Linked DNA regions of Tribolium castaneum. The protein of the gene in region 2 binds, or shares a complex with, the protein of the main gene of each other region. Links are inferred from orthologs where the notes say so. Each region holds a gene or a part of one and is shown on either strand. Other genes may lie near its edges. The genes, in order: hh and disp.

The links.
Region 1: the proteins of disp (region 2) and hh are in contact, whole or in part, in a cryo-EM structure (PDB 6TD6), measured with the Drosophila melanogaster proteins. The link is inferred for Tribolium castaneum from reciprocal best matches to the Drosophila melanogaster genes disp and hh. Residues at the interface, in NP_524734.2 of Drosophila melanogaster: His77, His78, Arg250, Tyr253, Glu296, Ala404, Gln405, Ser406, Asn407, Arg408, Gly434, Asn755; in NP_001034065.1 of Drosophila melanogaster: Tyr100, Pro101, Val103, Leu104, Lys105, Gln106, Thr107, Asn110, Leu111, Ser117, Glu164, Lys165, Val168, Ala228, Gly229.

What each region holds. Positions count from the first base shown.
Region 1 is NC_087397.1:305,559-309,382, forward strand, and holds part of hh (hedgehog), read right to left. Parts: intron 3,597-3,824; exon of another isoform or gene 3,405-3,596; intron 3,338-3,404; 5' UTR 3,182-3,337; coding exon 2,885-3,181; intron 1-2,884.
Region 2 is NC_087403.1:5,666,707-5,671,069, forward strand, and holds the start of disp (protein dispatched), read right to left. Parts: upstream 2,916-4,363; 5' UTR 2,496-2,915; intron 2,438-2,495; 5' UTR 2,326-2,437; coding exon 2,182-2,325; intron 2,134-2,181; coding exon 1,740-2,133; intron 1-1,739. Other genes in the region: WRNexo (3'-5' exonuclease), read right to left, coding at 3,259-3,324, 3,377-3,478, 3,524-3,665, 3,714-3,935, 3,985-4,106, 4,156-4,215. UniProt on the Drosophila melanogaster protein: Segment polarity protein which functions in hedgehog (Hh) signaling.

The DNA.
Region 1 (3,824 bases), on a different chromosome or scaffold from region 2:
TTAACGTCGTGTGGTTGTACCATTATGGAGAAAAATGATCTATGCGCACCTATAAATAAATTCGAGAACGCAATAAATAATAATGAGCCTTTTGGTTTATAACTTTGGCATAAATGAATTTATGGCTGTGTTGAAGCATAAATAACTCTAAAAGAATACAAAGTTATCACCAAAAAAAAAGTCATTAGCTACTTTGCTACAGATTTTAATCTGATGAGTGAAATTCCTCCACTTGTGCGATAAATGAGGAATTTAATCAAAACGGAAAAAACCTCTTGTCTATGATTATTTCAGGCGGTGAAAATCGTGTGCATCTCCGGGTATTACGACAGTGTGTGTCTTTTACCTGTTTATATCTTTGAATAAATAGAATTTAGTGGATTAAGCGAGAGCAAATAGAGAATAACGGTCATTTGTGTATGATGAAAAATTCAAGTAAGAGTTTATAGGCTAATAAGTATCAGGTTTTATGTTGGTATTGACTCATTAAAACCGAAATTTATTTATGAATGAACTTGATGATAAGAGCGTTGGTTGCTATCTGATAAAGCTGGAAAAGCGAAACTCCTTGACCTAATTTGTGACCTGAAAATTGTCTCGAAAGCTCGTTCTCACGCACTTTTTAAGGCTTCTTTCCTCTTGATGCTCTCGATTTCAGTCAACTTTTGAATGGATTTTAATTAGTGGGCAAACAAAGCGTCCTAACAAGGTGCGGTTCACAATTTTATTATACGTATTTAACGTGCAATAAAATTAATTAGACAAACAAGAGTTTATGGCATATCCCAGGAAAAGTTGAACCAAAGCGAGCGCATTTTCTGTTTCCCAAGAAACACAATAGCGCTTTTCTGAATCAGACTTAAGTCACGTCTGCTGATAAGCGCATTATCGATTCTGGTATTTTGGCTAGAAAACTGCTGACTAATAATTTTATTAAATTTTCATCGAATTCCTCGCGTTGTTGTAATTTTTGAGCCGTAATTCATAAACCTTGGTTCTTTCATCTCAATATATCGAAGTGTAAATACCATTATCTTTTGTCTGGAGACAGAGACAGGTTTACACTGTTCTTCAAACAAACAGTTTAATGTTTATATGAATATTTCTCACGCTGTACAAACACGTAACACATGCTTGATTTTTCGAATTATTTTACTAGTTTTCTATTTCTGACCTTACTCACGCAAAATGCACTTCAACAATGACATTGCACATGCATCTAATGCAATTAGCACGTCTATAAATACCTAATTAGTTGACCGAATCAATTTCCGATTTTTACAACAAATCAACAAGTTTTAACCTCGAAAATCACACATTTTTTAAATATTTTTTATTTTTCACGTTTTAAACTCGAAATTTTTTACCCAAAAATTAGCAAAAATTAGATATTTCACCTTTTTCTGTTTCTTTAAATGTTTTTCGACCTAGATTACCAATTTAATTTCACAGAACACTTTTGAGACAAAATCATTTTTGAATTATAACAAAATTAAAATGAGCAAAAAAATGTTCATTTTCTGAATAAACTTGAGACTTCGAATTTTAATGTCATTTTGGACTCTTCTGTAGAAATACAATTTTTGAGAAATGAAAGCTCAAATGTCCGACTTTTAGTGAAAAGAATCAGTCGAAATAATTTATACAATTTTAGAACTTAAAAAGAATTAAGGAACAATTGAATTAAAAAAATAAAATTAGCTAAAAGTTGGTCACTTTTTCTGTTAAATCGTTCTTCGATCATTTAACATTACATAACATAACCTTTCAAGTTGAGACGAATATTTTTAATCTTACATCAGTCGACTTTTTTTTTGTTTTTGATATTTTCGGGGCAATTTAGGTAACAGATCAGTAAACACATTTTTTGACTTTTGACATTGTTTTTGGATCATCCTCTAAATCTTGTACAATTATTTCAATAATAGAAACTTTTAGTGAAAAAAATCAGTCGAAAAAATTTATTTAATGTTCCAAAAATTAGCCAAAATTATGGTTTTTGAACACTTTTTACCTCAATCTTTTAAAAAATAATTACAGTTGTTCCTTTTTCTAATGTTTTTCGATCTAATTTACCAATTTAATTTCGAAGTTTCATTTTTTTAACACAAAATCATCTGAATTATCCTATAAGCTATTTAAGGAATAAATAAAAGTGGAAATAATATAAAATTGAGTTTTTTTTTTTTTATTTAAACTTAATATACTTGAATCTCAAAAATCAGCGAAAAATGACTCAATTTTCGAATTATTATCATTGTTCTTCGATCATTTACCTTTACATAACATATCATTTGAAATTGAGTTTAATATTTTTGCTTTTAACTTTTTAGTTGCTTTTTTGAGCTTATTTAGGACACAGGTCAACGAACACATTTTTCGACATTTGACACCATTTTTAAATTTTCCTGTGCAAAATCTCGAGTTTTGGTGAAAAGAATGTTCAAAAAATTAGCCAAAATGGTAATTTTTACTAGCATTTAATTTTTCAACTTTTCCTGTTTTTTACATATTTAATTTCAATGTAACCGGCCACATCCATTACCAAAAAAAAATTTTTTTGGCAAATTTGAATTCCAAAAATTAGCCAAAAATTGGTCACTTTTTCCATTGGAATAACTATTTTTATTTATTTATATTTGTTGCGTCTGATTTTGTGCTGTTCAAAACTCCCAACAGATTTTTTCTATCAGCTTTAATTTTCGAGATGTAGTAACTCATATTAGCATTTATTATTTAACATTTGAAGTTGAGCTCAACTTTTTTGCTCAACTTTTGTCGTAATTTTTGGCTTTATTTCAGACTCAAAATTTTGAGTTTTTGTGAAAAGAATAAATCGAAAAAGTGTTTTTTCAAGTTTTTTGTTCCCTTTTTTCTCTCGTACCTGTGTCATGAGCCTGTCCGCCCCCGTGCCCTCCTCATCCTTGAAGACGATGTCCTGGTTATAATTGGGCACCAGATCCTTGAACCTGGAGTCATTCCTTCCGATGCGTCCTTCAGTGAGTCCGCTCGCCGTGAGCGTATTCTCCGGCACATTGGGCACATGCTGTTTGAAGACGAGCGGTGTGAGCTTCCTTGGCCCTCGTCTCCGGCCGACTCCGCGCCCCGGGCCGCAAGCCCGCACCGCCTGCACCACCAGGAGGGCCGCTAGCAGGAGCGCCGCTGCCGAAGCAGACCTCATCTCCGAACGCACGCACCATCAGCACTCCTCATCTTGCACTTGTCATAGGTGAAACACCGACTGACTGGCCCCACTCACTTGAAGGCCCTGGCCATCTTCGGACGGCCTCAGCGGCTATTGGCCAGCGGGCGGAGCCCAACTCCGAGGCAGATGAACCTGCACCTCGCAAATCATACTATATTTCTGGCCTGCCACCAACTCAACTGCTAACTAACTAACTAACATCACCAGCTGGAGATTTCAATGACTGGTGCACGCCACTGCTGCCAGGACGATTACTTGACGCCGGCCCGATTAGATGGATGGATTTATCACGGGAGATAACACACATACACCGTTTGGCGCTTGAATACAAACAGGCATTATCACTGCTGCTGCGGCTACTACGAATTTTAGCGACACAAATACGATGACTAATAGCCTACTTATCGATTGCTTACCAACGTTTTTTTCATCCAAAATTTTCACTAAAACAATACTCTTTGTTGTTTCAAGATTTATCAAAAAAATACGTCCTATTGCTCTATTTTTATCATTTTGTCTCGAAAACTATTGGACGAAGAAGAATGATCTTTTCTTAGAAAGATTATTAAAAGAGCTTTCCAACGATAATAACTAGGATTTACTCTTAACAGTTCCGGAG
Region 2 (4,363 bases):
ATTTAATAGTTTGAGTACCATATATTATAACGTATTGTGTATTCTTTATTTTATTTAATGTTGATAACAGTCGTTTGTTGCAAATAAAGATTTTTTAATGGTGTGTTTCAATTTTTTTAATGTCTTGCTACAAACAGTAGCCAACGCAGAAGCCATGAAGGTAGGTGCTTTTTTTATTTATCTTGTGAGGTGTTGAATTTAATAATTTGAGTGCCATATATTATATTTTGCGTTCTTTATTTTATTTAATGTTTATAACAGTCGTTTGTTGTAACTTTCATGCAAATAAAGATTTTTTTAATGGTGTTTTAATTTTTTTAATGTCTTGCTACAAACAGTAGCCAACGCAGAAGCCATGAAGGTAGGTGCTTTTTTTCTATTCTTCTTGTGAGGTATTGAATTTAATAGTTTGAATGCCATATATTATTACATATTTTGTATTCTTTATTTTATTTATTGTTCATAACAGTCGTTTGTTGTAATTTTCATGCAAATAAAGATTTTTTAATGGTGTTGTTTTTAGTTTTTTTGATGTCTTGATACAAACAGTAGCCAACGCAGAAGCCATGAAGGTAGGTGCTTTTTTTCTATTTATTTTGTGAGGTGTTGAATTTAATAGTTTGAGTGCCATATATTACAATGTATTTTGTATTCTTTATTTTATTTAATGTTTATAACAGTCGTTGTTGTAACTTTCATGCAAATAAAGATTTTTTAATGATGTTGTTGTTATTTTTTTAATGTTTTGCTACAAACAGTAGCCAACGTAGAAGCCATGAAGGTAGGTGCTTTTTTATTTATCTTGTGAGGTGTTGAATTTAATAACTCGATCGCCATATATTATAATGCAGCATATCCGTTTGTATTATTTATTTATTTAATGTTTTTATCTAGAGGCAACATCGAATTGCAAAGAAAACATTTTGATTTATTATTTATTTTCAATTTCAAACTTTTCGTTAAATAATTCGTGTTTGAACAGTTCCTCTTTACCCATCAATCCCAGTATATAGTTCAACCTTAATTGCATATTTTATGTACAGTTTAAGTCATAGTAAACAATTTAGTGTCTTCATTTGGAATTTATTAGAAGATGTCCCTATACCTCTATTGCAAATAAATCAATGTCCATTTATGTTTAAAAAAATCATTTAAAACATAAAAATATTTCGTGTTATTTTAAACGCATATAATTTTGCAATATCCTTTTATTGTGATAAGCAAGTGACTTTTTGCTAACGTTGGTAATGTTCGCACGCTTGTAATCAACTAATCAATTTACCTTCGTTTTTGCACCTGTCATTTTGCAGTTCTGTCAAATTTGTGTTCAAAACTTGTGTGAGATTTCTCTAATAATCGTTTTTAGTTTGTGTATGTGTAAGTGTAAAGGATTTGATTCGAAAGGACGACGAAGACCTTAAAAAGGTAAAAGTGCATATTCTAATTTATTAAAGACAACTTAAACCTAGACGAGTTTTTAAGTTGTTTTCCATTATAAAAAGCCACCACGCACCGAAGTTTAATATTTAATTGTCCATTTTTTGTTATTTGAGTCAGTGGTGCTAAACTAATATCCAAATTTCAAGTCACAGGCCACTTTGATCCGCAACGATTTTCAAAAAATAATTGTTTTCAATAATAAAGGGTCGTCGGCCTGATAAGACCTTTCCCTACTTAAGTATTTGACTTGATAGCAAATGGTTTCGTAATGTGATTGTTAGATAAACAATTTGGCTTACCAGGATAACCACAAAAAAAACCGTCGATTTCGACCGGTTTGACGGCGACGTTTTCAGCAGCTTTTGGGTGCAACATGTTTTGTAGAGCCCTCCAGTTATTATTTTCGTAGCTATTGTCAGAGCGATTATTACTTGCTTCATTTATAAATACCTGAAATGGTGGTTTAGAAGGGGGCGACTTGAGCGGCAAAGTTACATTAGAAAAATCGTTTTTTTGTTTGTTTTTCTTCTTTTTTCCATTTTTCTTAACTTTAGGTTTAAAAAATGTTACATTTCGTTTTATCAAAATATCTTTGGGGTTAATAGCAAATTGTCCTGATGGTCGAGTTGATTCATCTAAGTTCTTCCAAGCAGTTAGTCTGTTTGATATAGCTGTTCCTCTGGTAGTGAAGCCCTAAAAGCGGCGAATGGGCCTGAAGGTACCAAACTTGGCTGGACTTACCATTTTGGGGTCCGAAAAGTCTTTGAAGGGCTTGGTTTTCAGTGTAAAAGGTATCACCAGGCATGTACCAGAGAACACAGCAACTGCCGATATAATGATGTAGGGGTGATGGACGATAATATGTGCGAACCAATTCAAATTCATTTTTAACGCTTACTCCATTTACCATTTGAGATTGCTTCTAGTCCCTCGTCGAAAAATTGCTTGTAATATCAAAACCGCGCGCTGAATTGTGCGAAAACCGGTCATTTTAGGGCTGAAACGAGGTTTCGTAAAGCGCGTGCAAATGATCGAGTGACGAATAAAACAATTACCCTATTTGATGGAGCCAAAGCCACCCTGGATCGCTCGTCCGGGCAGCCGGGTGCGGTAACGGGTAAACTAACCACCAAAACGCGACCGCTTCGTGGAACCCCACCAGACAATTGCCGCAGCCAGCACCGAAAAACCCAGCCTGGAGTCACATTCCTCCGACGAACAAGGCGACGGCTGTGCGAATAAAACGCGAAAAATCCACTTTAATCGCACGAGTTCCGAGAAAATCGCCGGTGAAGCACCGAGCGGAGCCCGCCGATTGCGCCCGAACCGGGCGGCTCCCAGCGCGGTATCAAGGCCAGGCGAGATGGAAGTCAGCTGTTTATAAACAAATACAATACTTCAAGGACACAGCCACTCTCATACCAACAAGTCAAGGTTACTATCAGTGCATTCCCGGGACACGGACGGGATATCACTGGGACTGCGGGCGGGATCGCCGGTGTCTTAACACCGGGTTTCCTTATTGATTTTGAATTTCGAGAACGGCTCTTGATAAATTGTACGCGGAAACCGCAGGCAAAAAATTATCGATTGGCTTCATTATTCTATATTTGCATTTTATAAGCCGAAGGGCTCTTATTACATTAGGGCGAACGTGACTTATTAACTTCCCGGGCTCAAGGACTTTGTTTACCTCGCTTTTATTAACTCATAACGAAATAATCCCGCTTATTAAGCCTGAATACATTATTCAGGCAAGCGACAAAAAGAAAATTCTCTCAAAATTAAATTATTTATTCGACTAGCAACTAGATACAATTAAACGCTATCATTTTCCTCCTGTGCTTCCCTCTTCTTGAGCTCGTTGTATAACACTAGAGACGCCTGCAAATGACTAAATAAAAAACAAAACTTATTTTTAGAGTGCAACAGTTACATAAGCGTCTGTGGCTGCATAATCCAGCTGTTCCTTGCTTAACGGGCTCACATGCCACTTACTCATCCTCACTTTATTATCTTTAGAAATCGTCATTTTTAACTAAAACGAGAGCAGTAAAAACAGCCAAAATTTTTAACAAAATACCAAAAATGTAACTAGTCTTTCCATACTCCATCGTTGCTGGAAAGGTAATATTTGGTTTGCCAAAACGCCGCTATCAATACAATTCTCAATGTTTTTCTCAACGTCAAATCCGGCAAAATCCCGTGAAAGCTTCCTAATATCGCTAAAATAATGCGCGTGTTAATTTGAGAAATTCCCGTCCCAAAAATACTTTTTAATGTTGACTCCTGTGATTCTAACTTTGGGATGAGCCAACAGCACTGACAACCCCTTGGGGAGTTTTTTGAGGTCGCTTATTTGAATTAAATAGCACGTGTCCAGGTCGGGGCTTATCTGAATTAGGGCCGCTTTTCCAGGGCCGGTCTGGAACGAAAACGGCCATTCGACGTCAAAGCCAAGCACTAGGACATCAGCAGCCTCGTCGGCTAATTTACTAAAAAAGTGGTTAAAGGTGCCGCAAATAAATTTTCGGACAGAAGTACATCAAATTGTCGCAGGCGAGGGCACATTCGATAAAATCCCTGATGTAGATTTTTTTGCCTTTAAACTGAATTGGAGGCCTGTTCCGAAACTCCTCTTCCTCCTTTTGTTTTTTCAGTTTTTCCTAACAAAAGTGTGATAAATGAGGGGCTATTTTTGGTTTTACCACGTACTGCTTCCCTTTCTTCCTGCGGAACGGAAGATCTAAGCCGCATACGACCGTTTTCACTCATTTTTTTTAATTTTTGTGTGAAAAACAAGATTCAAACAAGTGTAAACAAAAAAGCCGGTACACCATCTTGGGATTTCTGAGGCGGGGTGTTGGTGCGCTTTCTTATACTTGAATCTTGCGTTTGGCGCAATATTTGAACAAGCTTCAAA